Linked DNA regions of Lepisosteus oculatus. Each later gene encodes a partner of the first gene's protein in a complex. Links are inferred from orthologs where the notes say so. Each region holds a gene or a part of one and is shown in the gene's direction. Other genes may lie near its edges. The genes, in order: dpm2, pigc, piga and dpm1.

Region 1 (7,863 bases):
CCTGTACTGCGAGGTGCGAAATAACTGAATTGGCTAATGTTACTGTTAATTGAAATGCCTACTTGCCAAAGGCCCCTCTGTCCGTCTGTCCTAGACCTGCAGTTCGAGGTAAAGGGCTGCTTTGGCCTTTCCTAGTGTCCCTTCTCTGAAAACCCCAGGCTACATGACGTTCATCACAACAGCACTTGGACTTTGACATCGATTTTTTTTTTCGGTTTATGTTTAATTTGGAAAGGGATTAAAGCTATGCACAGGAGTCCAAGACTCCCTGACAAAAAGGTTAACACTTTCTAACTTGTACTTTAGATTGAATTAGATTTACAGAGATTTCTATAATTTTCCTTAACTCAATGGATCTATAATGGAATGTATTAAGAGAAATATTTAGATGGCTCTATTTTTGTGATTCTCTAAAAGCATTTTGGTTGGAAATAAAAGTTTATAACAAACATTAAAACATTGCTCCAAAGGCTTCTTTTTGTTGAAACAGGATTTTGGTTTCTCTCTACAGATTTGATTCACTTTAGGTGGAGCACCGTACTGTATTTTAATGAAAAGTATATTTGTATTCTCACATTTGAATGTTTCCTATTTTAGATTGTAACATTACAATAGGAAAAGTTATAAATGTAATATTTTGGGGAAATAAAGTTGTCCTTGGGTACCTCAATGAAGATGCTGGCTTTTTTTTGTTGTTTTTGTAAGCAACTTGATATTGTCTTTTTACATATTGTTTCTAAACTAATACCAAGTGTAAAAAAAGATCCCCTGTTCCAAAGTGTTTCTAGTAAAAGAAGAGCACGCTGCTGACACTTGGGATACTAAGTTATTAGTGAAACTGGAGAAACAATTCTCTTCCCCAGTCTCCAGGGCCTGGTGTTTCCCTATTTGAACAGTTTTCCATTGTTTTTCAACTTGAGAATTTGTCCCATGACTTATTTCTAAAAAAAATAACAACCTAGTTCTGGAGCATTGATAAAAAATTAACTGGATTTAAAAAATCGCGTAACCGCGGGTGAGGAAAATGGTAAAAACTGCAAGTGGAACGAACACCTTCGAGCACAGGTGCGAAGTGCCCATTGTGGCTAATAATCAGCTGCAGTTGTACAAAACCGGCACTTGTTTATTCCATAACAGCAGGTACAGTGTTAGTTGGGTAACTGAAAAAATAACAAGTCCAGAAACTGGTGGGTCCCGTGATGAAGAAAATAAAACTAACCAGCTGTAGACCTGAAAATATAGCAAACAGAAAAGGAAAGTATTAATGGGACCTGGCTAACTCCTGGCTGTAGCCTAACTGACAACTATAAAAGAAACAAACCCAAAATAGGATGGAAAGAAAAACTTAACAAATTTGGAGTAAAAAAAAAAAATCCAGTTCATGCGAGAGCTTTTGCAAGGCTGCGGCTCGCCATGCGTCTCCTCTGGTCTTGGATCTCATTATCTATGCAGAGGTCAGCTGGAGGACCTCTCCTGGTGTTAATGAGGAACTGACCTCCAGCAATCACCTAGTGGAGAAAAGCCCAGGCTATGATCCCAGCACAGAGGGGGTTAAGGATGATCTGAAGGTGACAGGAACCGTGAGGAACAAGGTTCCACAGACAAAGTTGGGACCCATATTAGTTTGACCATCATTCCTCTCCTGGTAGTCTTCCAGGATGCCAGCCGACTGGGTACTGTGGTGGGCAGCAGGTTCTTTTGGATGTGCTCAAACATGCATCGATCCATAGTGTAGTTTTTCCCATGGGTGGGAAAGCTATCTCTAACTACCTCTATAAACACCCCCTATGTAATTGGCCTTTCCCCTGGCTGATAGAGGCTATGTGTTGAAGTGTCTTGGAGATAAGGACAGGGGGCAGCGCTCCACATTGCAAGACAGGGCTTGCGAAGTTCTCCGCTTCAGAGGGTCTCCTCCTTGATGCACTGGCTCCGGCCCAGCCTCCTCCCTCTCTCCTCTGTGAACTGGTAGCACAGGACGCACCACAGGCTCTCCTCGGGCCTGATCTGCACCCCCTGCGTGCTCCTGAAGGGCCGCAGCGCGCAGGAACCTGGGAGAGAGAGAGAGCACGTGCCTCAGGGCGCTGACCGCACTGGTGCGAGGGCGAGGAACGCCTCACTCCGTCCTCCGCCTGCGAGCACCTCCCTCCCCGAGCGCTGCAGTTCCCCGCCGAGTGGAGAGCTCGGCCGCAGCACCTGCTCTGAGGAAGTGGGGCTGTAATTCCCCTTTAACTGCGCCAATCCCCCGCTTTGTTGGTCAAAGTTTTCAGAAACTGATGATTTGAGGGCGTCCTGGGAACCAGAAGACTCGATGGGTTGTCATCCCAGGGCTGCTCACTCCTGCACCGGGGTAAAAATTCACCAGCACGACTACTGCACCTCACAGCACCCTCTGGTGTGTACTGCATAGGGCCACCCATTGAGTTATATTATTGTTCTAGAAATGACTTGTGAGTTCTGTGTCCCGTTGTAACCTGACTGCAAGACAGTTTGAGGTGGGGGTCACCATGCATGAAGATCCACTTTATAAAATACATCCGGATCGCCTGGCAGGTCGATTACCCAGTATGAAGTACGCAGCAGTGCCGAGGCAGAGGACGATGAGGAAGATGGTCATCGGCCCTACGTCCTCCAGGTTGCAGGAGTTGGGGCAGGCACAGGGGCTCCGGACGAAGATCTCCAGGGCGCGGTTGTGCTCCACAGGCTGGGAGAGGGACACGGAGTGGTTGGGGCTGCAGTGATAGTGTACCACAGTGTGGACCAGGCTGCTGGAAAGGACTTGTTAAAGAACATCGAGGGGATAATTACTCCTTCGCACGGCCTGTACTACTCTCACATCACATTCACGGTGGGCAGCAAGACGTTTCTTTTAGTTCTGACCAGGGCCAAAGCAGAGGCACACAATCCCTTTCCACTTACAACGTCACCTCATAGCAAAAAAACAGGAAAAGGTTTCAATTCAATTCAATAAATGTACCTTGACAATACACACTCACACCTGAGGATTACCAAAGATCCTCTTTCAAACTTCCATCTCTTCAAAATGAAATCCCTCATTGATTATGACAGAATTGCTCTCATGTCTGGTTCTTAGACCTAACCAGCCCTTCACTGACATTTAATTATTTGCAAGCCCGGAAGAAGTTACGTTTCTGATGAGCTAACATAAAGACGGCGAACCTGGGTATGTAACTGAAAGGGTCCGCGATTGGTTGTCGTATCTGAATTCATTCCCTTCGTGTTGCCCGTAGTTGAAGTAGCGACTCTCGACGCCGCCGCTGCTTGTGTGGTGTCTGGGAGAGAGAATTGAGTTGTCGGAGGGGAAAAAAAGGTTTAGGTTGCACCTACCCGTGCCAACCTCATCAGGCATGTCCGCCAGCAGTGACAAGGGCACCCTCGCAGTAACCGTACTGACCTCGACATCGGCAGCCAGTGATTCTTATCGGAGTAGAATACAGTAATATGCTGCTATAATAAGGAATTTGTTTTTAAATCATAACAGTTTACTGCAGTATTTGCTCTGAGCATCCGTAAGGTTTGTTTGCTCCCAGTCCTAACAACACCGTTTCGCACTTGGACTACAGTCTCTCCCCACTCCCCTCCGCCCCGCAAGCAGGCGCTGACCCTACCTCACGACCACGCAGGCGGCCACCTCCAGGCACTGGGTGCCGGGAACCTCAGCGGGCTCGGAGAAGGGCGAGCAGGGGCTGAACGACACCAGCACCTCGTCCGCCCCCGCCGGCTCGGCTCTGTAGCGCTGCGGGAGCCCGGCCGAGCCGCCCAGCGCCGCCAGGTTAATGACGCCCGAGCCGTCCTTCAGGAGACACTTGCAGTGGCTCACCTTGAGGCACCCCGGCTTCTTATTCAGGGGTGGAGGAGACGCAGAGGGGAGAATAAAACACAGGGCAAGGAGAAGGATGAATTTGCAGACCTCCATCCCGCTGGGGTGTTTCTGGAGTACGGCGCTGCGTGCCTCTCCCGGGGTTCTCATTAGTAACTCTCCTCTGACAGCTGTGGCAGCTCCATGAGACCGAGGAAAGCAATTACAATGTCACCACCAGATTCCAGGGGTCTGACGCAGCCTGGGCCAGCCGGCGTTGCAAGAGCTGCATTTGGGGATGGCGAGAGATTTCTTCTTCTTATAGAACCAGTGTCAAAATTATCTTTGAGATATTCCGATTTCGCTCTAAGCAGTGATAAAAGTTGAGTCACCCACTGGAATAGGACCACGTTTACGCTCGTACAACTTTTGGCGATTTAATTTAATACCCCGGGAGCTCAGGAGCGGAACACGGAAAGAAAAGAAAATTCGTAGCTGCATCTGAAGAACTTACCACGACGCGCTCTCTAGCTCATAGTGAGACCCATTTTATATTGCAAGGCTGGAGCTCATTTAAATATTTCTTTTAAGAGAAATTATTTAAACGCGCATCAGCGTAACAAGACAACGAGAACATTAACAAAATCAAATCTATATATTTAAAATTCAGAGCAGAAAGTGTATTAGATTTTTGGATGCAACAAAACTGCACCTATACTATCAATATAATGCTATATACCACACAGCTTATGAATGGTACAGTAGCAGAACAGGCCAGTATGTGGCATACTGTATAGAATTAACAGTACAGGTGCACCTTTGTTGCCACCTTGTGTTTTTTCGCATCATCTGTGAAATTTCGAGTTAATTAATATTCTGAATACCTGTTATATCCGTTCACATGTAATAATTTCTTCACTAATGTGAATGATTGCACGCACGAAAGGCTATAGCGAACTCGCAAGCAAAATACCCGTCATCTAATCCAATCTTTTCAAAGTTGGTCACATCGCAAAAAAAACTACATTTCCCATAATTCTTCAAATTTTTGATTGGAAGATTTAGGGACCAATCAGAATTCACCGGAAGTTGGAAGCTCCACGATTTCGTAGAAGGAAGGAAAGTACCGAGTGCAATATGGTGAGTTGGACTTAAACATGTTCGATTTCTGTAGCTATAATAAATATTCCTTTGTAATTTGTGAAGCCTGGTTAATGCTTTATTTAGTGCAATGACTTATGCTTATAAGGCGTTATCTGAGCTGCATTATTGTATCAGCTTTCATAGAATTTGAATGAATTGGCAACTCGGAAAGACAGGTACGTATTTAACGAGATAATATATACTCTTACAAACAGAAACTGTAGCTTTGGCAAGAAATGACGAATTCGCTTTGAAGTGTAGTGTGTATTGTATTCAGTATAAAGTTATGCTATGTGTGGGGTTTAATAAGATACAGTCAACATATCAACCCGTAAAATCTGTGCGTGGATATAACATCTTCTTCGGGGTTAGAGGACAGTTAATCCAAGTAAGCACCTGTGTCGGAGTTTTTGCAGTTGCACAGTCACCTTGCGACAGCAGAACGAAACGCCCAGTGTGATTATCGGTGCTATCGGTTAACATTTCTTTTCCACGGCTTTGCTAGGCTACAGGAGCGGATCAGGCGGTTGGGATGGGCATCGTGAGCTTCAGCCTGCTGCTCTTCACCTATTACACAGTCTGGGTTATAATCTTGGTGGGTATTCACCTCTCTTGCTTCATGTGGATTTTGATCCTCTGGCTGTTTTCCCCAGTGACACAATAGCAGTCTTTGACACGTTTTATAGGGTATATAAGGTGTATACAGTACATATCAATGTATCTTGTTTGCCCCTGAGACTCGCAGACAGGTCTTCATGCCCACTGCTCATGTCCCATTCCTCTCTTCCCCTTTGAAAACATGGGAATGTCGTCTTCAGTTCTGCAGTGGCTTCGCACTTTCACTTTGGCATTTGTTTAGGAATAGCAAAGTACAGCATTGAATAAAGATCTCTTGAAGAAACGCTGCTGTGTACAGTACAGGATCAGATAAGACAGCTGAGACACTTGTCAGACCTTTAGAGATAAAGAATTTCAACCATTTTAAAATATTTGAAAATTCCTCCCAGATGGAGATTTAGTGATGAAGGAGGAGGAGATGCCTGGGGATGTGGGGACATGTGGTAACCCTGGTCTGGTTGTTGTTTTGCAGCCCTTTGTGGACAGTGACCACGTGATGCACCAGTATTTTCTCCCCCGGGAGTATTCTGTCATATTGCCTGGCGTTGCAGCTTTGATTCTGCTGCTCTTTGTAGGTAGGTGTGTTTCTCTTGCAGGGAGGGGATTTACAGTCACTTAACATATCGGCAGCCTGTGCTTATTTTCCCACAAATCAAGGTTTCAGATTGAGGGTGAGCATTTATTAACCTTTTCCAACCTTCGTGAACGTCTCAGCTTGAAGGTGGTTGTTATCATAGCCAGTTCTCTATGACAAACACGAGCTCATGTACTACAATGACCAGAGAACGCAAGACCATTGAACTGATTCACGAATCGCACTCGTTTGTTTCTTGAAAGCATTTACTTCTTTGCTTTGAGGTCTCTCACCTCTTCTCCTTCTGTTTTGGAGTCTTTAAGGCCACGAGTGTGGCTGTGATGATTCACTCAGACATTGTTTTTGTGAAACTGTCTGTTGTTGTTGCTGGTCTGGGTAGACATGGCTACAACATCTGCAGTGCATGAGTCACACTTGCACACTTATTTTTACATTTTGGTAAGAGGTCCCAGATTTGAAGAGAGTTCGTTTGTCTTTGGCCTTCTGTTTCTTTCTGAAGAGAATAACTATGTCTTCTTTTATATTCAGGAACCTTTATCGGCATAGTAACCTGGAAGAACAGGAAACCAAAGAAGTCAGAGTGAAAAGAGCAGCTCGTTCACAAGCATCCAGGAGTCCAACCCCCATGAGTGAGATCAGCTCCTGTGTGAACCGATGAACGAATCCCTTTTCCTTCACATTGCAGAGCACTTTGGACATTCTGTGGGCAAGTCTGAAAAGCGGGCTGCACTGCAGTTTGAGCCATTTCAGAGTCACCTGTGCTGACGTCTCAAGGGTTGAATTAAGGGTAAATCCGAGCGGACGGGGGCTTGTGAGGTTACACCCACAGTGGAGCAGAAATGGAATTTGCTGTGCAGGTCACAGACCGCCCTCTTCCCCCAGGCAAACGTTCGAGGTGCTGCAGAGAAGAATATCGTCCTTGCGCACTCCACACACCCTTAATGACTGCATGGCTGTAAGCACTTTGTCGCAAAAACCCAGAGGGGCCGGCTTGTAATCCACAGAGTCGCTCCCAGATGAGAGCCAGATGACTCATGTAACCCGTTTCCGTCACTGAATTGAAGGGATACAGTTTTTTTTAAAAGCACGATGGAAGTTCTTAATGTTGCCACTAACATTACATCTAAAATGCTTTACCTGCAAGTTTTATTTTAAAAACATTGCGTCAGTGAAACTCCATACTAGTTTTGTGGTGGCTACAGGAAGATGAAATTAATTCCCATGTAATATCAGTGCCCCCTTTGCATTGCAGACAAGCTTGTATATATTTATGTACAGTATGCAGTAAAATTGTGATGTCTACTTAATTACACTTGTAGGCAGCTTTTGTCCTGTAACGTACCTCCATCTGTAAAATGCTGTGACTACCCTTCCAAAAAAAAAAAAACAATGACATCTTGGTTCACAAAACTGCCTTCTTATCTTTTTTTAACAAAAATCACAAATGCATGAATTGTGATGCCTGCACACATTTCAAATGTGAGTGCAGGTATTGACCTTCTCGTACTTTTTGATTTATACACCTTGCGCCTTGTAAGACTGTGTGTTTAGTCCTTAAAATATGAAGTGTATGTAAAAAAACACACATGCTTCAAGGCTGACTAAAGACCCAGCATGTTAAAGTTGATTTCAGTGGATGGAGGGATGGTGTGTTTAATGTACTGTTGTGCTCCAAAGTTCATACCTAAGG
Region 2 (7,368 bases), on another chromosome or scaffold:
AGGTCTACCTGCTGCGCAGCCTCTTCGACGACAAGAGGAGGAGCCGCACATAGCGTAGCCGGACGGGGGGGGGGGAGGACAGGCGGCCCAGCCAGGCCAGGCCAGGCCCAGCCCGGCGGGCCGCTCACAGGGCTTGGGGGAGGGGGCCAGGCGGGCGGCAGGCTGCTCCTGGACACAACGCCGACTCCTCTACAGTCTGTCCCCACTCTTGGCTTTCTCTGCCCAGTGGTCTTCTTGTTTAATTCGACTGAAAAGACAGGTCAAGCTCAAGAGCGGAGCGCTACCGGAGCCCACGCGCTTCGTCATGGATTGGGTGAAGGCAAATCGCTGCTTCAGCACACGAACCTTACAATACCTCCAGCAAAAACCCGAACTGCGATTTCTTTTCATCAGGGCTCATTATCTCTGCTCCTGAGGGCTTTCTTTTTGTCTTGGAAGATGGTTGATGTTAAGAGGGACTGTTACATGTTGTGTCAAAGAGAGACTGGTCTGATCTAAATTTTTCTTCTAAAGATCAAACTACATTTTCTGAAATTAGAAAAAAAAGAGCAGAAGCCATTTATGTGATGACTTATTATTATGACTAATTTCTGCTGAAACATTGTTTTACGTTTTTACATTGTTGTGCCTGTACACGTCTGCAGTGATTCTGGCTTACTCCTCATGTGCCCTGAGGGATTAGTGACATTGCTCACTTTATCCCCTTTACAAGCTGTGCTCAGTGCACAGCCCACGGCAGCCATGTGTACAGCTATGCAAACAATCTGAAATGAGGCTGCACGTCTTCAGATCCTGGCCACATGACTGAAGAGAGACACTGGGATGACGGAAAGGGCTTTCACATGATAGCAGTGTTATTGACGTCAACAAGAGGCTCCTGGCCAGAGCTGAAAAGGAGGTTTCACATTTGACTGAATAGTGCCAGGCTTCTTACTGTGAAACAGTCCTAGTCCCAGAGGGTGAGCCCTCATGAGCTTCTGTTCCACACAGTGCAGAGCCCCTGGGCCCCGACCTGCTGCAGAGACTTGGAGCCCCCGAGCCCCAAACTGATGAACCACAGACTCAGAACCCCTGAGTCCCAAACTAATGCACCATAGCACAGAGCCCCTGAGCCCCAAACTGCTGCCCCGACATGTAGATCCCCTGAAGCCTGACCTGCTGCCCTGAGACTCAGAGCCCCTGAACCCCGACCTGCTGCCCTGAGACTCCGAGCCCCTTAATCCAGGACTGCTGCACTGAGACTCAGAGCCCCTGAACCCAGACCTGCTGCACTGAGACTCAGCCCCTGAACCCCGACCTGCCGCACCGAGACATGACAGATTCTGGGTTCTCCTCTTCTTCAAGTTAAATTTTCAACTGACCTCATTAAGCGTGTGTATATTTTTCCAGTTCACTTTTCTACATAGATTCCAAATTATTTAAATGTGTAAAGGAATAAGAAATAGACCTTCCTAAAACGAGCCAAGAGGAAGCTGCAGAGTGGCTCAGCTGGTAAAGAGACTTACCTTTGCGCCCTGATTCATGTGCTGCGGGTTCGAGCCTGGGTCATGTTACTAACCAGCTTGGAGAGGTGGCGCACAGTGACGTGTTAGAAGATGAAGGGGTCAGTGTGCTCGCCGCTGGCTCTGAGAGGGAGACGTCACTCTGCTCGCGTAGATAATGTGACATTGCAGTTGAAATTCGTGACCGGCTTTGGCAGTGCCTTCATACAGACAATAAATGACTGCTTGCAGCAGGAATCGGGGAAAAAGGCTCCTGTTTATTTGTGTGTGACCAGCTTCCACATTACTGCAGTTCCTGTCCACAGTGGTGCCCAGTAGACAGCGCCATCTTCTGGGAGTGAAGATTTCAGGAGATGCAGTCTGCAAGGCAAGACACCTACATGAACTCCACAATAGGACCTTCATAATGCAGGAAGATACTGAAAGTGTAAACGAGTTTAATGAAGGGTGGTAGGTGAGGATGATCAATCTGTGACGGTACTGTGTGCATTAATAGAGTATTTTACATAAGACTGAGGTGCAGAATTGAGCCCATCGAGTTCACCTTGTTGGACAATCCTGAGGTCGCCCTCAGCTGTGGCTCTGAGAGTGGCTGAAGATCTCGGTGTAGCTTAAAAACTGGCGCTCTTTGGCCAGGCTCTTGAAAAGCCTAAAAGTGGTGACTGTCACCCCTTGAGCAATGCAATGGCCTGAATCACTAAATGGGACAGAGGAGAACACTATAATATATTCTTTCTAATAATTAGTTCAGTGTGAACAATGAAGTCTTCCCGCCCTTTTGGACTGTATTATTTTGACATTTTCCTGAGGTGTGTGAATGGGAGGGAGTGTTTGTGCTGCTCTTAGTTACCCTACCAGCTGAGGGTGAGTCGTCTTCGTCACACTAGAGAGGGCGCCTGCCTGCCTGTCTGTCCTCAGCCCTGCACAGTTGGGCAGAAAAGCACAGAATCACAGCTCCTGTCTCGCACCTGTCAGAGGAAAACTGACCAGACAGCTAAATCTAGCGAGGTGTGAATGGCCTAGTCCCGACAGCCTTGGCTGAAGCCAGTTTCGTGAAGGTGAACAGAAATGTAGGATGGCCAGTGACCAGAGGCCCCAGCTCTGTCCAGGCTACCTGCGGGACTGTGGGTGCCGGGGTCCTGCGCTGACCGCACAAGTGTCCAGGGACGATACCTTGACACTGACCCACGGTTGGGCCACCGACGTCCGCCAGACACAGGGGCCTCAGCCTGGGGGAAGGACACCACAGTTAGCCAGCAGAACCAGAGCAGGGACTGATCGCACAGCCTCGGCCCCCCTGGCTGCCGCCGGCATCTCACCTGGCCTTGAGCAGCCGGCAGCCTGGCCTGGTCCTGTCTCTGGGGGGCGGCAGCGGACTCTCCTCCTGCCCCTGGACTCCGGCTCTCGGCCCCGCCCCGGGCTGCACGAGACCGGCCGCGCCGCCGCCGCCCTGGGGAGCAGCAGAGGGGTCAGGAACAACGACACGGAAGACCACCAACGGAGAAACGCGTACGGGTGTTAAAATCCGCAGACTATTCAGCTGAACGAGCTTGACGGGCCGACCGGCTCCTCTGGTCTGTGACCTTTTCTCTGCTCCGGCAGCGGCTGTTGCGGCTACAGGCCCGCAGCTGAAGGACGTGCCTAAGGCCTAGGGGACGAGTCGCGCAGGAGAGCGGCAGTACCGTTTGCGTCTGGAGGGTCCCTGGGTCTGGTGCCGGGATCCCGGAGGTGGGGGCGGCAGCTCTGAATGGCGCGGGTGCTGTCCCATGCGCGTGGGCTCCCCACGACCCAGCCCTCCTCGTCACAGCACGGCGACTGGAAAGGAGACACGGGGACAGGACGCTGCTGCTGTCCCCCTGGGCTGTGGGCCAGCTCAGAGGTGCTGCACAGCGGGAATTTATCACAAGCGGACAACCTATTGCTTTGTTACAAGCGTCGACAGTCTCGCCTTTTCCAGTTCATTCCCTCTGAACGGACCAATAACAGCTGTTCTCACCGACCATCCATTACAAGAAGCTCTAATCCGTGACCTGGAGTCCGTTTATTATTGACCAGAAGTGGCTGTCATTGTACTTTAAACCCACCAAGACTCTAAAAGAGCTTTTTTTTTCCCCTCAAAGGAAAAAAAAAGACTCCGTTTTCTGCAAAACACCCGAAATGAACGTGTCAGGTCGTGTGTACTCTTTACCTGGGCGCAGCATCCCTCCTGCAGGGCCGGGACGGGGGGGCGATATTCACCCGGGTTACCTGTGGCAGAGAGAGAGCCGCGCTGCTGAGAAACCGCTGGGCCTGGCGAGACCGCCCTGAGCGCGCCCACGGCTCCACAGACGGGCTGCCACGCTTCAGAGACAAGACCCCGACCCATACTATCAGACCCTCTTTGAAATGTTATTAATTATTCAGTTTAATACTTCTCTTCGGGTGACATGCCGTGAATACAGCATTAAAACACAGAGTATTTGAGCAGCTGTAAAGTTATAACCTGTTTAACACCTGCAAACTCCCTTTTGGACATCGATTCCCGACATTTTCTCGACCTGCAGGCTGCAGAGACAGCGTTCAGCCTCAAGCTTTCAGTAGAAAGACGCTAACAGTTTAGAGGAGCGGAAGATAATAATTACATTATTATTCCAGGTTAGATTAACAATTAGAACAGCCGATAACATAGATGACGTCTGATTCGCTTTTAGATAAAGCATAAGTGCTATCGTTTATTACTGGGCAGACCTGTTATCGAAACGCCGTTCTCCTCTTAATATAGACTCGAGTGTCCTCAATGGTGCTTTAACAGTTCCTCGACAGGGGGCGCTCTCGGCTACTGAAGACACTACGTAGATGCAGGTCGCTCTATAACACTCGTGAAATCAGTGGTAGCCTATCACTCACTGCTTCCTGTTTTCTACGTTTGTTTTGGGAGGACTTTTATTCTCCTAGTGAAATACATGCTTATCAGAGAAATGGAAATGTTTTTTCATACGGCGTTGTGATAACAGGTAAGCTCAGGGAGATTGAATTAAATACCGACATGTGTTTAACATTGTTGTAGCCCGTACCGGCTGGTTCCTGTAGTCCATTTTCTACCCGCCTCATCTACAGTAGTTCGGGGTTGCGGGGTAACCGGAGCCTGTCCCAGCAAGCAACGGGTGCGAGGCAGGGTGCACTGCGTACGGGAAGCCAGTCCATCGCAGGACACGCACACGGTTACACCCGGGCCTATTAACCCCCCGGTAGGTCTTTGGACCAGGAGAGGAAACCGGAAGAAACTCACGCGAATACGGGGAGAACATACTAACTCCACTCAGACAGCACCGCAGGTCCAGAATTGAACCCTGGGCTCAGCCGTGCGAGGCAGCAGTGCTCATCACGGCGCTACCGTGCCGCCTTAGTTTAATTTAGTGCACTTAAGAGAGGAGCACATTCAGCACATGTGGCCCTTCTGGTAGTTAGCAACTAACTGACCCTGTATCTCACCCAGCTGTTTCTTGGAAGAAACTAGGATATCAGCTTCCACAACGTGGCTGGGCAGCTTGTTCCATACCCCCACAACCCTTTGGGTAGAGTCGTTTGTGTAGGGCAGGTCCTTCATTCCAGCTGAGCTTCATCACCTCACTGAGGCCTTAATTGAATTCATCAGCTGTTTGATTGTAACATTTGCAAGTGTTTTTTTTTCCAACTCAAGAGTTTGGGATTTGATTTCAACTAGGAAATGTAATGGTTAAAAGGCTGCCTCCTGAAGGTTTATAGTCTGAAAACAGTCACACAGGTCCAATTAATCATGTCATTCAGGCAATTAAAACATTCAACAGTGTGACTGACAGCTTGGCTGGAACAAAAACCAACGGGACTGTGGGTCTCCAGCACCAGGACTGGGATCCGCTGCAGCACGTGAACAGAGCTGACATGTGGGTCAGGAGAGGCGTGTTTCAGCAGTTATCGGCTGTGCTGTGCCGTTCGCACTGTCAGTAGCGCAGCGAGGTGTGTGATTCAGGTGTGCTGGTCATTGTCCGTGCCGTCAGTGTGACGAGTGTACCTGCCCGCCGCTCCTGCCTGGGTGTCTACAGCCAGTGTCAGTACAAGTACAAGTACAGTCTCAATGTCAGTGTCAGTGCAGGCTTGGTGCCAGTCCCAGTCCCAGTGTCAGTGTCAGTCCCAGTGTCAGTCTTAGTTTGAGTGCCAGTACAAGTGCAGTCTTGGTGCCAGTGTCGGTGTCAGTCCTAGTCTCAGTCCTAGTGCCAGTCCTAGTGCCAGTCTCAATGCCAGTGTCGGTGTCAGTCCTAGTCTCAGTCTGAGTGCCAGTCTTAGTGCCAGTCTCAATGTCAGTGCCAGTACAAGTGCCTGTCTCATTGTCAGTGTCGGTGTCAGTCCTAGTCTCAGTCTGAGTGCCAGTCCTAGTGCCAGTCTCATTGTCAGTGTCAGTCTCAATGTCAGTGCCAGTACAAGTGCCTGTCTCAATGTCAGTGTCGGTGTCAGTCCTAGTCTCAGTCTGAGTGCCAGTCCTAGTGCCTGTCTCAATGTCAGTGTCGGTGTCAGTCCTAGTCTCAGTCTGAGTGCCAGTCCTAGTGCCAGTCTCAATGTCAATGTCAGTGTCGGTGTCAGTCCTAGTCTCAGTCTGAGTGCCAGTCCTAGTGCCAGTCTCATTGTCAGTGTCAGTCTCAATGTCAGTGCCAGTACAAGTGCCTGTCTCAATGTCAGTGTCGGTGTCAGTCCTAGTCTCAGTCTGAGTGCCAGTCCTAGTGCCTGTCTCAATGTCAGTGTCGGTGTCAGTCCTAGTCTCAGTCTGAGTGCCAGTCCTAGTGCCAGTCTCAATGTCAATGTCAGTGTCGGTGTCAGTCCTAGTCTCAGTCTGAGTGCCAGTCCTAGTGCCAGTCTCAATGTCGGTGTCAGTCCTAGTCTCAGTCTGAGTGCCAGTCCTAGTGCCAGTCTCAATGTCAGTGTCGGTGTCAGTCCTAGTCTCAGTCTGAGTGCCAGTCCTAGTGCCAGTCTCAATGTCAGTGCCAGAGTTGGTGTCAATCCCAGTCTCAGTCTCGGTGCCAGTGTCAGTCTCAGGGTCAGCCTCAGTCAGTGCCAGTGCAGTGCCAGCCCTCACAGCCGTGCTACTCTCCCGCAGGGGCAGAATGGGGGCGGAGAGCGACCCTGGATCCACCCCCGCGGTGCCGTGGCGGAAGGTCCTGTACGAGCGGCAGCCGTTCCCCGACAACTACGTGGACCGGCGCTTCCTGGAGGAGCTGCGGTACAACGTGGGCGTGCGGCGGTACCGGTACTGGCCGGTGGTGCGGGAGGCCGGGCTGGTGGCGCAGCAGCTGTCCTGCGTGGCCATCTTCCTCACGCTGTGGTCCTGCATGGAGCAGGGCCAGCTGCCCCCGCTGCTGCTGCTGGCCGCCAGCGCGCCCTGCGCCCTGCTGGGCTACGGCGCGTACGAGGCGCTGGGGGGCCGGCGGGGGGGGTGCGCGCGCACGCGCTGGGCGGACCTGCAGAGCGCGGCCATCTTCCTGGCCTTCACCTTCGGGTTCTCCCCGGTGCTGAAGACGCTGACGGAGTCGGTGAGCACGGACACGGTGCACGCCATGGCCGCCCTCATGCTGCTGGCGCACCTGGTGTCCTTCCCCTACGCCTCGCCCAGCCCCCCCGGCAGCCTGTCGCTCAACGCCGCGCTCTTCGCCTCCGTCTGCCTGGCCTCGCGGCTGCCCGGCGCCCTGCACGCCTTCTCCACGCTGACGGCCGCCCTGCTGGTGTTCGCGCTCTGGCCCTGCCTGCTGCACCGGCTGCGCGCCTCCCGCCCCGGCGCCTACCCCTGGGCGGCCGCGCTGGTGTCGCTGGGCGGCGTGGCGGGCGTGGCCAGCCTGACGCCCGCGGGCGCCGCGCTGCT
Region 3 (7,337 bases), on another chromosome or scaffold:
ATATTAAACACAATTTTAAACTGAACTTGGTTATATTTAAAACATTTGGATATACATTTTTTAAATACTAACAATGACTTGGGACAGCAGAGTTCATGTTTGAAAACGATTGAAGATACTAGGATGATTTCTTATCTCAGTTCGGTGCATTGGCTGTATTACTCCCTGATTTATAGAAGTCTTCCAGGAACTGGAGATTTTGTCTTTCCAGTATGTGCTTGGCATGTTGTGTGAACATTTTCTGGAGTGATAAGTTCTATGTGAAGAATAAATAACATTTATTTCCTTTAATTCACTTAGTACTCTGTTTGACACCAGAAGACATTTTCTTTGGCATCTTTTTTCTTTTCTATCAGTAAGGTTCTCTGCTTCCTTTTCAGAATTTTCTCCAATTACCAAGTTGTCAGACTGTGGGCCTCCTAGGATGTTTGATGAAAACCAATGTGATTGTGTTTGTGAGAACAATTGTTTCAGAAATTACACAATAAACCAGAAAAACTGTAGCTGCCATTGTTCTCTAAACCATGAGATCTGTGCCACAGAAAACAAAGAGTTTGACCCAGGCTCCTGCAGGTAAATTACCATATTCACTGACTTAAAGCAAGTCAAATCACCTTAACGATGCATAATTCTGAACTAAACTAATGGTCGAATCCAGAATCTATTAGGATAATCATTTTCCTATTAGAATAAATGTGGCCAGAATAGAAAACTGCAATGTGAAGATTAAAAAATATATTTTTTATTTTTCTAGGAAGAAAAATGAACAAAATTATAATTTCACCATTTTAAAAAACCTTATAAAGCATATGCAAATTATTTAGTGTGCTGGGATACATTTAAGCAATACACTCAATGAAAAAATGTAATGCTTGAGACATAAAGTATTGGTCCTTCAATCCCTTTTTATCAAATTTAATTAATGGCAATCTTATTAAAGATAGTGTTAGGAAAGTGTTAGGAAAACAAGATAAATTCACATGTGGATTTTGAGTCGTGTATTGTACAGGAAACAGATGACACATTGAACAAAGGAAGGATCACACTGTAGAGAAACCAAATAGTTAACCAAATTATGTTCTAGACTGAAATGACACACCCAAACTTGTAAACTGTGTGTATGCTGTGTGGTAATTTTTACAATCTAATGCATTCTTCATTAACAAAAACACATTCATACTTCACAAAAACCTACTGCTTTCCTTCTAATTTTTCTAGTTAGTAATTGATTCAGAAGTCACATGTTCAAAAAAGTAAACATCAGTGACGATTATACCAGAGCCTTTTAGTAATTATTACTTACATTGAAGTTTCACATGGCTTAGCCTCTGTATACCAAACCTTAAATTAAATTCAAAGTGTTGCACCAATTTGACATCAGTCTTTGGAAATACAGGTTTTTTAAAAGGATTAGATTTTATCATTTTCATTATATGATCTATCATAAACAACGGCATATAACAATTGTTCTTGCTCATGTTAAAATGACCATTTTCTTTCTCCACAGCTGTAACTGAAAATGGAAGATAAAGCACTGACATTCTGAAAGGTTGAGCGGTTTGAAATTAGAAATTAATTTATTGACGTGTCTATGTCTGTCATGCATTTAATGTTTATATTACTCCTCCCCCTCCTACACACAAGAAGTGTAAAAAGGACCACATTAAATTACTTCTAAATGTAAAGCTGTTAAGTTTTAGCAGATGGTTTGTAACTTGGCTTCCTGTAGGCACTGAACATATATTTTACAGTTTAAAATCATATTTTTGTATTTGTCACAATTGATGCTTATTTTGTATAATATATTTAAATGTATATTATGTGAATTATAAAATGTTTGCATTTTTATGTCTTGTGTGATTATTATTATTCAATATTATCATCTAATTTAGATAATTGCAACACCATTAGAATTTACAAATGCTACAAAAGCAGGCTAGATGAAGAAACTATACAATGCTCTTCTCAAATGTCAAATACTTTCCTAACTTTAAAGTTATATACAAATCTTTCAGAATTTCCTGTGCAAATGAAAAACACCCTGTCAAGTAGTTTTTACAAGGTGCAGCCTTTTCCAAATTATAGGTTTTGTTACACGTTTCACACCAAGTAATTGATTTCCTTCTTTAACTGTAGTTCCCATGAGAGATATATTTACCTTGTTCTTAGCTGTAACTAGAGACTAACACTTTATCTTCAAATAGCCTTAGGGTTACTTGACATCATTTTCAGGCATTCTCATCCCATGCGACAATTAACCATTCAAAAGCTGTATGAAGTATGAATGAATAATTTTGAAATGGGAATCCCATTAAACACATACTTTGTCAGTGCAATCACCGGTTCTGGGCTAATAAAACAAATTCTGAAGATGGAAAAAAGCAACACACCATGCAGATGTAGGTTTTGCACAATCCTATCTATACTCCTTTGTGCTAGAAATAATCTGCAAATTAATGCAAAACAGTGTGATTTAAGGCTATGGCAGTCCCCACCCAACTTTAAAATGTTTTCTTGGCAGCAGTTAGACTTATAAACAAAAGGTGTTGTTTCACAAGATTAACAGTAGCACAGGGATAGTCATTGAGAAGAAGCTTTCCAGGGCTCAGCAGCACTGTCATACCAGAAAGGCCCATTAGTCACATACGCCCAAGACCGCTCTATCACAGGCCACTCCCCAAACAGGCAGGTGCGGGTTCCTTCTGAGGGCTTCAGTGACAGAGAGAGTTGGAAGCACACACGATGTCGAACCACTGGTATGGTGTTGTGTGCATTTTATGTTCAAGTTTGAAATGGATATGCTGTGGTACAGTAGGTCTTTAGAGAGAGTAATAATGTTGTCCCAGACAGTGTCCCAGTCCTCCCAACAGGCACAAAAAAGATGAGCAAGGTCTGAGGTCAATACAATAGGAAAACCGAGGAGGTGAATAGGTGTGTCTGAAAAATGTGTGCAGGCCATTGTAATCAAAGATGTCACCAAAAGTATACTATCTTATATACAGAGATGGATAGTTGAAGAGCTCAAAACCCATCAATTAGAGGAAATTATTCCTAATAAACGTTTATGATATGTCAAGAGGCAGTTGACCTTCCTCCAACTGTCCAAAGTGTGCAATGACTGGGACCATTTCAAAGGAAACAGTCCTGACTTCGAGAACAGAAGAAATATGATCCCAGTGTCTAACTTGCTCAGTTTAAGTTTCTTCAGTGAGGCTGATGCCCCAAATCCAACCATTTTGTAAACATCCTCAACTTAAATACTTAAAAGTTATGTTCAGGCCAGCAAAATCTATGAGGCAAAGTAGTTGTAACAGTTTTACTTTGTTCCATGCATTTTGTTGGGAGTTAAAAGGATCTTGACAAATTAAATAAATAGGCAAGGAAATATGTCCATTTCTATAATATAACCTATGCGAACAACAGATCGTATAGAAGCCCATCTAGTTGGATACAGTTTATTTTTATTCAAGAACCTCAAGCATATTCTTTTTTACGATTTTCCGGTACGCGGAAACGTGGGGTCTTACAAAACCTGAAGATCTGTGTACTTGGTTAACTGACATAGGAAAATGTCATCAGCATAGAGTAAACAGATTTAGAAAGATTTTCCTTTTTTTTTTTTGCTCAAATGGTTTCAGAGTAACTAACTATTTGTACTTTACAGGAAAAAAAGTGTTCATAGAAGGAAAATAGCTTTCACTTGCCGATTATCAAACGTTACCGAGAACCAAAATGAAAAAGAAGAATAACGGACACAGCGCGAGCCTGCGTTCTCTCCTCAAACGTCCACACAACACTTTCCCTTGGGTCAGTGATCAAATAAAACTTCTCTCACACTAAACAAATTACCACAGTAAAAAAAAACCTAAATAAGAACATAAAGTACAGAATACTGAATATGTTAACACAAATGTCTCTCAACATTAGTGAACTTATCGCTCGTTAAGTTTCAACACGAGAAAATAGAATACGTCAACACAAGTACCTTTAAAAATTAAAAGGCATCAAATCAACAATCAATAACTAGACTAAAAAAGTTGCATTCCCTGACCGGGAATCGAACCCGGGCCGCGGCGGTGAGAGCGCCGAATCCTAACCACTAGACCACCAGGGAACCATACGACTAAGGCTTTAAAGTATTGTTTTAAATTAAATTAAAATTATTTAACGCAAGTCGTTTTGAAATAAAAGAGAGTTTACAATTTAAAGAGACCAAATAAGATCCCAGTCATTTACTTGTACATTTTTTTCAGTAAATTAACATACACCAGAAGACTGCGGAAGTGTTCATTTCCCAGCATGCCAAGCGGAAGTAATCTCTCGCGTTCAACACGGAAATGCTCATTGAAAACGAAAACGAACATGCACTTCTGCTTAATAAGAAAGCCTGTCTTTGTACTAAAATAATTAAAAAGCTGTGTAGTCCTAGGAAGCAACTGATACGCAACCCATCGTTACATATAAGGTAATACTGTTTTCGTTTGTTGTAAAAACTAAAATAAATGTACTAGTAGTTGTTAAACAGAAGTTCTTTTAGTTTCTTCCAGTCACAATTCTAGATAACCAGCTGTTGCATTTATTACCTCGCGGTGCAGTGATTAAATGTTATGACAGCTTTAGTTTGTACCGTTTCTCGAAGGTGGCACCTCTCAGTTCAATCGCTTAGATTGGTGTCAGGTAAGGGTGCTTTGCTGTGAAGCGTTCTGGGGATAAATTATGAGCGGGTACAGAAAGCATTGGGTCATCAAATGCAGGGCGCTCAAACCGAAACCTAATGAGTTTATCGGAGTGTAGCTGTATAATATGCTCTGTAAATACGTCAACACTTATTCCTGATAAATTGTGTTAACCAAGTGCTGCGACTGGTTACATTTTTACAGTAACCTGAGTATTTTGTGATTAAGAACTGTTGCAAACGAGAAGAGGCTATTCTACCCATATAGCCCGTTTGGTATCTAGTAATTACTCCAATCAAGCTGTTTACCGAAGCATATCGGTTTCCACAACCTTGTAGTAGTTCTGTTCAAGACTCAAGGTTCAGTTAATTAAGCCTGTCAGTGTATTACATTCCCTTAATCCCTGAAATGTATTAGATTGCTCTTCTCTGGACCGAATCCAGAGCAGGAATATTTTTATGACATAGTGACCAAAATTGTAAACATAATTTTTTTAAAAAAGGCGCTACGAAGTGCATTACACAATTCTAGCACCCCTTGATTTAAATTCCATGCATTCACCCATCAGTTTTCTAACCGCTTCATCCAATTGAGGATCGTGTGGAAGCTACAGACTATCCCAGCTGGCAGTGGGCACAGGCAGGATACACCCCGGATGGGACACCAGTCCATCTCAGGGCACACACAGACAACCATGCTAACACCTTGGCCGTTTTTTCCAGACGCCAATTAATCTACCAGTATGTCACTTACTAATATATATATCCAAAAAATTCATCCATCTTTCTAACTGCGTCCCAGAATTGCCTAGAAGTAAATGGCTCATCAACATAGACACCTAATTCCTTTTCAGAATTCAACCTGCTTCTATCTCAGAGTGTTTTTTATTTTGCATTTATAGTTTTACTTTTGCTACCCTTTCTTTTTTGCATGTTTTCCAGTCCTCCTAATTTGTGTCATTGGCAAATTTGACTAGTTTACCTAAATATACCAGAATCTAGATCATTGATAAAAAATAGGAAGGGTTTTATGTTTAATGTAATTTTTGGTAATATTTGGTAATATTGAAAAGGGGCACTGTGGATTAATTCATGTGGATATGTAATAGTATAGAGGTGAAAGAATAATAACATATCTTTATTTTATAGGTGTGCATTTGAGCTGAGGAGTACAAATCTAAACCTGCATAGATGCATCTCTTGAATTGAATTTTGAACTATGAAGCTGGAACAGAGAATAGGAAGGAGCTCAGAGGGCCCCAAAATTAGCAGGCTCTTGGATGACATTGGACTCAATCACCTGGATCATCCTCACCGCAAGCACAATGTATGCATGGTGTCTGATTTCTTTTACCCCAATATGGGAGGAGTTGAAAGCCACATTTATCAACTATCACAATGCTTAATTGAAAAAGGACACAAGGTTATAATTGTGACTCATGCTTACAGGAACAGAAAAGGTGTGAGGTACCTCACTAATGGACTGAAGGTTTACTATTTACCTCTGCAGGTAATGTACAATCAGTCCACAGCAACAACATGTTTCCACAGTCTGCCTCTGCTCAGGTGCATCTTTGTACGGGAAAGGATCACGATTGTCCATTCCCACAGTTCATTTTCAGCCATGGCTCATGATTCTTTGTTTCACGCCAAGACAATGGGACTGCACACAGTTTTCACAGACCACTCCCTTTTTGGCTTTGCAGACGTGAGCTCGGTGCTGACCAATAAGCTGCTCACTGTGTCGCTCTGTGACACAAACCACATCATCTGTGTGTCATTCACAAGCAAAGAGAACACTGTCCTAAGAGCTGCACTGGATCCTGAGATAGTGTCTGTAATTCCAAATGCTGTTGATCCCACTGACTTCACTCCAGATCCATCCCAGAGGGATGACACCAAGATTACCATTGTGGTAGTAAGCCGGCTTGTTTATAGGAAGGGTAAGAGTGACCTCTGAAAGCAAAAATGTGTTTTAGCAGTAATTAAGGTTAAACTTGCATTTTAATATTGATTTCAAAGTCAGAACATAATTTTATATCTTTTAAGTCTTTAATGATTTTATCACATTTACTGTGAAGTGCAGAAATACATAGATTGTTGATTTTAGTAATTCCTGGAAATTTTTATTCATGCTTTCCTGCAGGGATTGATTTGCTTGGTGGCATAATTCCAGAGCTGTGCCTGAAACATCCAGATTTGTATTTCCTCATTGGTGGTGAGGGACCTAAAAGAATTGTCCTAGAAGAAGTCAGAGAAAAGTACCAGCTTCATGATAGGTGAGTTAGGATTTTTGGAGCAATTGGTATTTTTCATTGAAACCCAAGCTCTAATTACAGTACACTATAAAATGCAGCAAAACAAGGTGCTTTTCAAATTTATATTTATAATTGTAAAGTGTGATTTAACCAGTACTGTACATGAATAAAAATGTTATCTTCTCTTATTAAAAGAAGAACAATATTCTGTAGAAATGAGAAGTATTTTTTTGTCAGAACTTCATATAAAATTAGTTTTTCTGTTTTGGCACTTATTAATACTTTTTTTGCATGTGTTTGTAAACTTAAGTGTTATAGAAAGAAAAGCAGATATTTCTAGGAATTCAATCTTTAAAGGTCTTAGTTCTCTGGCATGATCGATATTTTCATTAACATTTTAAAAG
Region 4 (7,970 bases), on another chromosome or scaffold:
CCGTAATGTTCATTTCATTATTGTTTTACTGCCCAAGTAGCATAATGGACGTTGAAAAACAAATGTTTACGGGTGATTTTTGAGGACAGGGAAAGGTGTAATCAAGCGGACATTAAACTGCTACTACTGTATCTCTCTGGTTTTAATTAGTTTCTTGCTAAATTATACTCAGTCTAATAATAAACATTTTACTATACATACTATAAACGTTCCCTCCGTTTTGTAGCAATATGAGAAGAGCCAGCTTGTCAAGTGGATGGCAGCCCAATATTTAGAAGAACAGAGGAAACATCAATGTTGTGGAAGGGCTGCTAATTAAAAGTAACTTGAAATGAATATATTCGTTACCAGTCCATTATTAAAAATACTTCTCGACAAAAACGTATAAATGTTTATGAACCGATGATATTAAAACAGATGCTCCCACTTCATAAAGAAGCTGCAATTGAAAGACTGAAACATTAAGAGTATCTGTTCACATAGTTTAACAAGTAACTCAGAACAATAGAGTATATGAACACTAAAAATGTAAAACCTTAAAGTTATTATAATATTCTTCATTTCAGCTCACAATTACCTGCAGATGAATGAATTCTATACTATCTACCCCTACAACAGCATGTACAGTAAGCTACACCATTAAAAAAAGTGAAACCACACCATTAAATCCACTGCAGGCCTTTATTTTAATATATATACAGTATATCAGGAAGTAATAAATAACACTTATATGTACCAGTCCAACCAGTAACAAGGAATATTCTCTCATTCTAGTGAAACTGGTCTGTATTGAACTGAAGCTCTGTCACCCCATCCACTACAGTTATGAGCGTCCCATTTGGGAAGTATCAGTCTAGTCCTCTTAATCCACCTCTTCAATGGTGGGCCCCTGGGAGGCATTCCCTGAGCCTGTCCGTGCTTGGCTATCACAGCCTCCTGCTGGCATGCCTCCTTGCATCCCTCCCTGGTACAGCTTGGTGATGATGGGGTTGCACACTTTCTCCAGCTCTTTCAGCTGGTGCTCGTACTCCTCCTTCTCTGCCAGCTGGTTGTTCTCCAGCCAGACAATGGTTTGGTTGCATTTCTCAACAACCTTCTTCTTGTCCTCCTCGCTGATCTTGCCTTTCATGTTTTCATCCTCCACACTGCTCTTCATGTTGAAGGCGTAGGACTCCAGGGCATTCTTGGCAGCGATCTTCTCCCTCTGGGCATCGTCGTCTGCTTTGTACCTCTCGGCGTCCTGCACCATCTTCTCAATTTCCTCTTTGCTCAGCCGGCCCTTGTCATTGGTGATGGTGATCTTGTTCTCTTTGCCAGTGCTTTTGTCCACTGCAGACACGTTCAGAATGCCATTGGCGTCAACGTCAAAGGTCACCTCGATCTGTGGCACCCCTCGTGGGGCAGGGGGGATACCCGTCAGCTCAAACTTGCCCAGAAGGTTGTTGTCCTTGGTCATGGCTCTTTCCCCTTCGTACACCTGGATCAGGACACCAGGCTGGTTGTCTGAGTAAGTAGTGAAGGTCTGGGTTTGCTTGGTGGGAATGGTAGTGTTGCGCTTAATGAGGGCTGTCATGACTCCTCCTGCAGTCTCGATGCCCAACGACAGTGGAGCCACGTCCAGCAGCAGTAAGTCTTGCACATTCTCAGAGGTGTCCCCCATGAGGATGGCTGCCTGCACAGCTGCACCATAGGCCACAGCCTCATCGGGGTTGATGCTCTTGTTCAGCTCCCTGCCATTGAAGAAGTCCTGCAGCAGTTTCTGGATCCTGGGGATGCGAGTGGAGCCTCCAACAAGGACGATGTAATGGATTTGAGACTTGTCCATCTTGGCATCTCTGAGTGCCTTCTCAACCGGCTCCAGGGTCCCTCTGAAAAGGTCGGAGTTCATCTCCTCAAAACGAGCCCTGGTAATAGAGGTGTAGAAGTCGATGCCTTCATACAGAGAGTCGATTTCGATGCTGGCCTGAGAGCTGGAGGACAGGGTTCTCTTGGCTTTCTCACATGTGGTGCGCAGTCTCCTCAGTGCTCTTTTGCTCTGGCTGATGTCCTTCTTGTATTTCCTCTTGAACTCTTCCACAAAGTGGTTGACCATGCAGTTGTCAAAGTCCTCCCCACCCAGGTGTGTGTCCCCTGCCGTGGCCTTGACCTCAAAGATCCCATCCTCGATGGTAAGGATGGACACGTCAAAGGTGCCGCCACCCAGGTCAAAGATCAAAACGTTGCGCTCTCCTCTCTTGCCCTTATCCAGCCCGTAAGCGATGGCAGCTGCTGTGGGCTCATTGATGATTCTCAGCACATTCAGTCCAGCAATAACGCCGGCGTCTTTGGTCGCCTGGCGCTGGGAGTCATTGAAGTAGGCAGGAACGGTGATGACGGCATTGGAGACTTTCTGTCCCAGGTACGCCTCGGCAATCTCCTTCATCTTAGTCAGGACCATAGAGGAGATCTCTTCTGGGTAGAAGGTCTTATTCTCTCCTTTGTACTCCACCTGCACCTTGGGCTTGCCTCCATCACTGATCACCTTGAAGGGCCAGTGCTTCATATCCGACTGCACAACAGGGTCTTCGTACTTCCTGCCAATCAGCCGCTTCGCATCAAAGATGGTGTTATTGGGGTTCATGGCCACCTGGTTCTTGGCTGCATCTCCAATGAGCCTCTCCGTGTCAGTGAAGGCCACATAGCTCGGGGTGGTGCTGTTGCCCTGGTCGTTGGCGATGATCTCCACCTTGCCATGCTGGAACACCCCCACACAGGAGTAGGTGGTGCCCAGGTCGATCCCAATAGACACTCCCTTTGGTGCAGACATCTTTCCGTGTGTCTACAGAACAAATAAACCACACATTTTCTCTGATACACATTTAACTGCTCAGTTATGAATACATCAGATACTGTAGTTCAAATAATTTCTGCTGGAATGTTTGATTTTTAAACTCTCCACATGAAAATTAAAGTATAAAAGTCTCATTCAGGCTATGAGGTGCAGGTTTTTCTCATAAAGTGGAGTAACAAGGACAGCAGTCCCCCAAGACATCATTTTACCCCATTATTACATGTTTTTTTCACCTTTCCAGTACACTTTGTAAAGTATACAAGAAGTGCAACACATTAATTCTAAAAATCAGCACTTTCTTTCCTTACACATCATGTATCTTTTCAGCTTTAGCAATTTAGATTTTTGCACATTTGTAAAGTTCAGTCACATTATCTAATAATTGAACCAAAATAATATTAGATTAATCTTTGTTTTAAATGTTGAAACATTTGTTTCCTAACTGATCAAATAACTTTCTAGACGTGTTACATTACTTTTCAACAGCTATGTAAACTATGTGCTGTTTATGTGTCAACTTACATTTTAACAAAAAGAATGTATCAAGTTATTTTGCAAACGCAGGACACAGTCTGTAGTGTTACAATATTTTAAGTTTGTACACATTAACGAAACACAAATGTTGAAAAACGATGCAGCAAACATCAGCTTAAAATGTCACACGTTTACACGCATTGCGGTTCACCTATAACGAGATTAGGGAGATGCTCCGATGATTGTCGGAAAAACCCGATTCTCGCTCGGCGTTCCGTCCGTGTGATCGTTCACTGTTCTCAGCGCTGCCCGGTGCGGCTCAGCCACCCTTTTTATTCACTTGCCACTTGAGTTTCAGAACTCTCTAGTGAAGTCGCAGCCAATCAGAGGGGGGCTTTACGTTTACATTAACTGCAGTTGCTAAGGCCCCCCTTCCAACCTCAAACCAGGGGGAGGCAGAACCTTCTAGACGGAGCTGGGAGTTGCTAGTTGGGAGTCAGAGCGGTTTATCGACTTACCGACTCTCGTACACAAGATTGCCTCACTGGGGTCGAGGTGTGCAAAGAGCACACAATGTTGTCGATGCACTTGACTGGCGCCAGATCCGCTGTAGTACTATCACTGTAATATCAACAGTTGTTTTTGTCCAAGAGGTGACTTGTTGTATAGGAGGTTAATAAAAGTATTATAAAGCGGGAGGCAAAAAACAGCAACTGCAGAAATATGAATTAGGGTAGCACGGGGCTTGAATAAGTGGATTTAGTAGCAAATGCAATGCAAACAAAGTAGCAAATGAAATGAAAACAATAAATATTTAGATACTTAGATGAAACTCACAACTGGGCAAATACCTGGATGTTTGATGTTGACAACTGCAGAGTATTATATATAACTTATAAGCCAGTAGCAAAAACATTAATTATGCAGCATATGCAAAAACGACAAAACACCTGGTTTGAAGAGGCTGCTGATGAAAAACATTATTTACGCTGACACATCCCTTACAGCTTCTTGACAATGGGAAGAAGCAATAAAAATGCAAATACATTTTTCGTATTTAATGTTTAAAGCGCGGAATTTAAATGGAGACGTCAAAATTGTGCAATGCACTACCAAGACCTTATTTAGAATATTGTGAATAGTTTGATTGACACAAAACGCTACAAAACGCTTTGCAATCGTGGAATTAGTCCATCTAAGAGCGGAAAGGGACATTCTGGGATTTAGGAATATACTGTACAACACTGAAAGGCTAAATGCGCTGATTTTGTTTTTTGTCAGAAAAAAACTACCCTGAGGGCCTGATCCAAGTATTCAAAATCCTTCAAGGCTGAGTGCCGTTCTGTCGTTACTTATCCCTAGAAATTCATTTTCTTAACAATTTATTCCGTTTGTATATCAGCATTTTAAATTTTAATAACCTGCAAAAACTCTTTTGTCCAAAAAATCCTTTCTTGCGTATTAAGAAAATCTATGGATTGTAGATATTTTAAATATTCAACGAATTATTAATGGTATGACTTATTTATGTATTTATTCATTATATTCCAAAACCAAGGAATAAATGATCGTACTGAGTAGCCTTTTTATCCGCACATCTCGGAACCTGGTAATGTGTTCTTCTACTTATGGGTGAATCGGGGGTATATTTTATTGTGACACTTACTTCCGGTTCTGCACTTCCAACATGGCAAGCAGGAGAAGCTCGGAGAAAAGCCGTACCGGGACAGATAAATATTCAGTATTACTGCCCACTTACAATGAAAGGGAGAACTTACCATTAATTGTGTGGCTTTTAGTGAAATACTTCGGAGAAAGGCAAGTACTTATAACTTAAATGTCTTCTATGTGTTTGTTGAAGATTAACTACCACTTACTGATGAGCTGTCATTATCTCTGTCAGTGTAAATAAGCAGAAATACTGTGCTAACGTGACAATCGATACTTTTTATGTACCTTGTACTTTCTACTAAAAAATATGCGAGACACTGAAAAAGAAAGGTGTATCGTTGCCCATTCAGAACGTGTCTTGAGTTCGCAGTAGGTTTTTCAGTGTGCCTATATAAATTATTCATTGACTGGTGTTATTAATTTGAATGCAGCAGATCATTTATATTAAATTAGGTTCTTGTTCTCGTAGTATTGTCAATGGCCGTTTATGTGTCTCCTGTAGGAGCATTTTCTTAATTTTCCGAGCAAATCTTTTGGAGAAAATATGTTTTACTGCCATTAAATATGCGTTCTCTGCAAAAGCCCCCCCACTCTGGAGGGAGAGAGTTAAAACGGTGGACGTCTCTTGACTAACTTGCAAATTTACATCACAGACCTCTTCAATTACTTGGCTGGGGTAGACGTCCTCCACCTCAAGAATAGGTCCCAATTTAAGTTCTAAATCAAAGCTGCCAATAGCATGCAGAAGACAAATAAATGTGTTCCTTTCGTGGGTTATGTAATGCTTGGTGCAGCACTGACGAAGTTTAAAAAGCCTGAAACATTTTGCGTAATGTCTGTTAAGGATTATATTATTTTTTATTACAGTGAGTGCAACTATGAGATCATTATAATTGATGATGGAAGTCCTGATGGGACACTGGAGATGGCAGATCAGTTGCAGAAGATATATGGTTCAGATAAAATAGTAAGTGGAGCTATGGTAGACATGGGTCTAACAGATTGTGTACACGGTATACATGTTGGTGCTGGTCGCTTTAATTAACACGCCTATTGTGTGTGAACTCACGTGTAATTTTATTTTAGTGCTAATGATTATTTTCATCCTCCTTTCTTTGTTTACACCATTCTCTGTCTTCTAATAGTGGTCATGATCCTAGACATTTACATATGTTTTTCAGCATAGATGGTGAATGTTAAACAATGTGTTCAATGTACACAGACAAAAAAGCACAATTGTATGTGTGGTTGATTAAGATCACACTTTAGATTAATACAGGAAAATAGATTATTCCAAAGGGTTCACAATTTTGTTCTCAACAGTAAGCAGCAGATACATGGAATATGGGTCTAGAATAGGTTTGGGAATTTGTCTTCACAGTTATTTCACAATTTTTGACCTCTGTGAAGTTTTTGTGCTGTATCTTGTATTGTTCTGTTTGTCTTTGGTTAATGTTGTAATGGAATATAAAGTCACCTTACAATCATCCGTCATAAAATATGGAGCATAACAGCGAGCACAGAGTAATTAGAACATGGAGCACAGAGATACAGAAGTGGTTCTCTTGTCATTTTAGGAGATAAGTGTGTCAGCTGCTACTGTAGGAAGAACTTAATTCAGATGGACTTCCTAGGAGGAGTTTAAAATCTCCTTTCACTATTATTAGTTGAAATTGTGCAAGCAGGTGAAAAATACTGTCTGAATTTGAAAAAGTCATCATCAAATCAGATGGCAGTTTGGCAAGTGCAACTCAAGCTCTTAGATCGTGGGTTCAAGCCTGTTTCATGTCACTGCTGAGAGTAGAGTTAGATTATTCTGCCAGGGCAGTCAGTGATACAGTAGAGCCTGCGGCCTCCTGGGCACTTGCAGGATTGTGGTGGTGTTACTGCAGGGGTTGTGTCTCTTCTCCTGCTGGCGCTGAACCTCCAGTACTGGAGTGCACTGACTGTGTCGCGTTCGAAGAAGAGTGGTTCGAAGTTATGCAGGTCGGAGGAGTCAGTATGCCCTTCCTCATTCTCCCCTATGTGCGGCTGCAGGGTTTGTGGCTACAAGCCAAGAAAAACCCATCACTGATTATACCACAAAATTGTGTGGGTATGACAAAAACAACTGGCAATTATAAATGTATAACTAAGTGTGCTTATGAGAAGAATAGCTTTCTTCTCTGGCAAGTGAATCAGTCTTGTCATATTACACAAGCTTGTAATTAATCAATGAAATGCTCATGGAGTTTCTCCAGTCTTGCAATCTCTGAATTTCTTTTTGTTTTGTCTTGACAGCTTCTTCGACCTAGAGCAAAGAAACTGGGATTAGGTAAGGCATTCTCATGCTGGTGGCTAGTGATAGTAGTTTATAGACTTCTGTGAAGAGACTCTTCTCCTAAGGATCAATGTATTACATTCATTCCAAACATTTGTGATGCAGAACATTTGTTGTCAGTAATGAAGAATTTAAAAGGATAATGTTCACTTTGCATTCATTGATTGTAACATGGTATTTGACTTTTTGTGCAGGGACAGCTTACATTCATGGAATTCAGCACGCTACTGGGAATTACATCATAATTATGGATGCTGATCTCTCCCACCATGTAAGTTGTTGTCTGTAAGAGAAGCTTTTAAGCTCAGTTAGTTTTCAGTTTAAAAGAATGTAGATCCTTTTACCTGATGATTTCATATTTTTTTGCATAGAATTTTAAAAGAAACCATCGATTCTAATACTGATATAGTAGTTGAAGTGGACAATTCCATGAAAGTAACCCATTCACATCTAAAGTTGTTTCTTCTCTGTTAGGTCATATAATTGTAATTAAGAAGTTCAGTCAGTTTAATGATAACAGAATAGCTTAAAAGCGTATGTTGTGGGCTGAAGTTGAACTGAAAACCAAAATCACTGCATATACTGTAACAACAACATTTTGTAAATTAATTTTTATTTTTGTTTCTTCCTTCACTCAGCCAAAATTCATTCCAGAATTTATACGGTAAGTTATGA

Evidence for each region.
Region 2: dpm2 (region 1) and pigc share a complex: the UniProt entries of both Homo sapiens proteins name them as parts of the glycosylphosphatidylinositol-N-acetylglucosaminyltransferase (GPI-GnT) complex. The link is inferred for Lepisosteus oculatus from reciprocal best matches to the Homo sapiens genes DPM2 and PIGC.
Region 3: dpm2 (region 1) and piga share a complex: the UniProt entries of both Homo sapiens proteins name them as parts of the glycosylphosphatidylinositol-N-acetylglucosaminyltransferase (GPI-GnT) complex. The link is inferred for Lepisosteus oculatus from reciprocal best matches to the Homo sapiens genes DPM2 and PIGA.
Region 4: dpm2 (region 1) and dpm1 share a complex: the UniProt entries of both Homo sapiens proteins name them as parts of the dolichol-phosphate mannose (DPM) synthase complex. The link is inferred for Lepisosteus oculatus from reciprocal best matches to the Homo sapiens genes DPM2 and DPM1.

The regions. Positions count from the first base shown.
Region 1 is NC_090719.1:15,315,041-15,322,903, forward strand, and holds the start of dpm2 (dolichol phosphate-mannose biosynthesis regulatory protein), read left to right. Parts: upstream 1-4,857; 5' UTR 4,858-4,954; coding exon 4,955-4,957; intron 4,958-5,465; coding exon 5,466-5,555; intron 5,556-6,050; coding exon 6,051-6,153; intron 6,154-6,701; coding exon 6,702-6,757; 3' UTR 6,758-7,863. Other genes in the region: uncharacterized protein, read right to left, coding at 1,900-2,048, 2,560-2,775, 3,163-3,290, 3,627-3,988. UniProt on the Homo sapiens protein: Regulates the biosynthesis of dolichol phosphate-mannose. Regulatory subunit of the dolichol-phosphate mannose (DPM) synthase complex; essential for the ER localization and stable expression of DPM1.
Region 2 is NC_090704.1:31,465,473-31,472,840, reverse strand, and holds the start of pigc (phosphatidylinositol N-acetylglucosaminyltransferase subunit C), read left to right. Parts: upstream 1-4,361; 5' UTR 4,362-4,495; intron 4,496-4,562; exon of another isoform or gene 4,563-5,477; intron 5,478-6,609; 5' UTR 6,610-6,616; coding exon 6,617-7,368. Other genes in the region: tmed5 (transmembrane emp24 domain-containing protein 5), read left to right, coding at 1-53; uncharacterized protein, read right to left, coding at 1,849-1,862, 2,617-2,731, 2,822-2,952, 3,185-3,384, 3,691-3,749. UniProt on the Homo sapiens protein: Part of the glycosylphosphatidylinositol-N-acetylglucosaminyltransferase (GPI-GnT) complex that catalyzes the transfer of N-acetylglucosamine from UDP-N-acetylglucosamine to phosphatidylinositol and participates in the first step of GPI biosynthesis.
Region 3 is NC_090710.1:20,913,496-20,920,832, forward strand, and holds the start of piga (phosphatidylinositol N-acetylglucosaminyltransferase subunit A), read left to right. Parts: upstream 1-4,325; 5' UTR 4,326-4,465; intron 4,466-5,824; 5' UTR 5,825-5,894; coding exon 5,895-6,618; intron 6,619-6,821; coding exon 6,822-6,954; intron 6,955-7,337. Other genes in the region: vegfd (vascular endothelial growth factor D), read left to right, coding at 381-573, 1,508-1,517. UniProt on the Homo sapiens protein: Catalytic subunit of the glycosylphosphatidylinositol-N-acetylglucosaminyltransferase (GPI-GnT) complex that catalyzes the transfer of N-acetylglucosamine from UDP-N-acetylglucosamine to phosphatidylinositol and participates in the first step of GPI biosynthesis.
Region 4 is NC_090711.1:9,602,419-9,610,388, reverse strand, and holds the start of dpm1 (dolichol-phosphate mannosyltransferase subunit 1), read left to right. Parts: upstream 1-4,955; 5' UTR 4,956-4,991; coding exon 4,992-5,122; intron 5,123-5,842; coding exon 5,843-5,942; intron 5,943-7,255; coding exon 7,256-7,289; intron 7,290-7,489; coding exon 7,490-7,566; intron 7,567-7,933; coding exon 7,934-7,959; intron 7,960-7,970. Other genes in the region: heat shock 70 kDa protein-like, read right to left, coding at 863-2,806. UniProt on the Homo sapiens protein: Transfers mannose from GDP-mannose to dolichol monophosphate to form dolichol phosphate mannose (Dol-P-Man) which is the mannosyl donor in pathways leading to N-glycosylation, glycosyl phosphatidylinositol membrane anchoring, and O-mannosylation of proteins; catalytic subunit of the dolichol-phosphate mannose (DPM) synthase complex.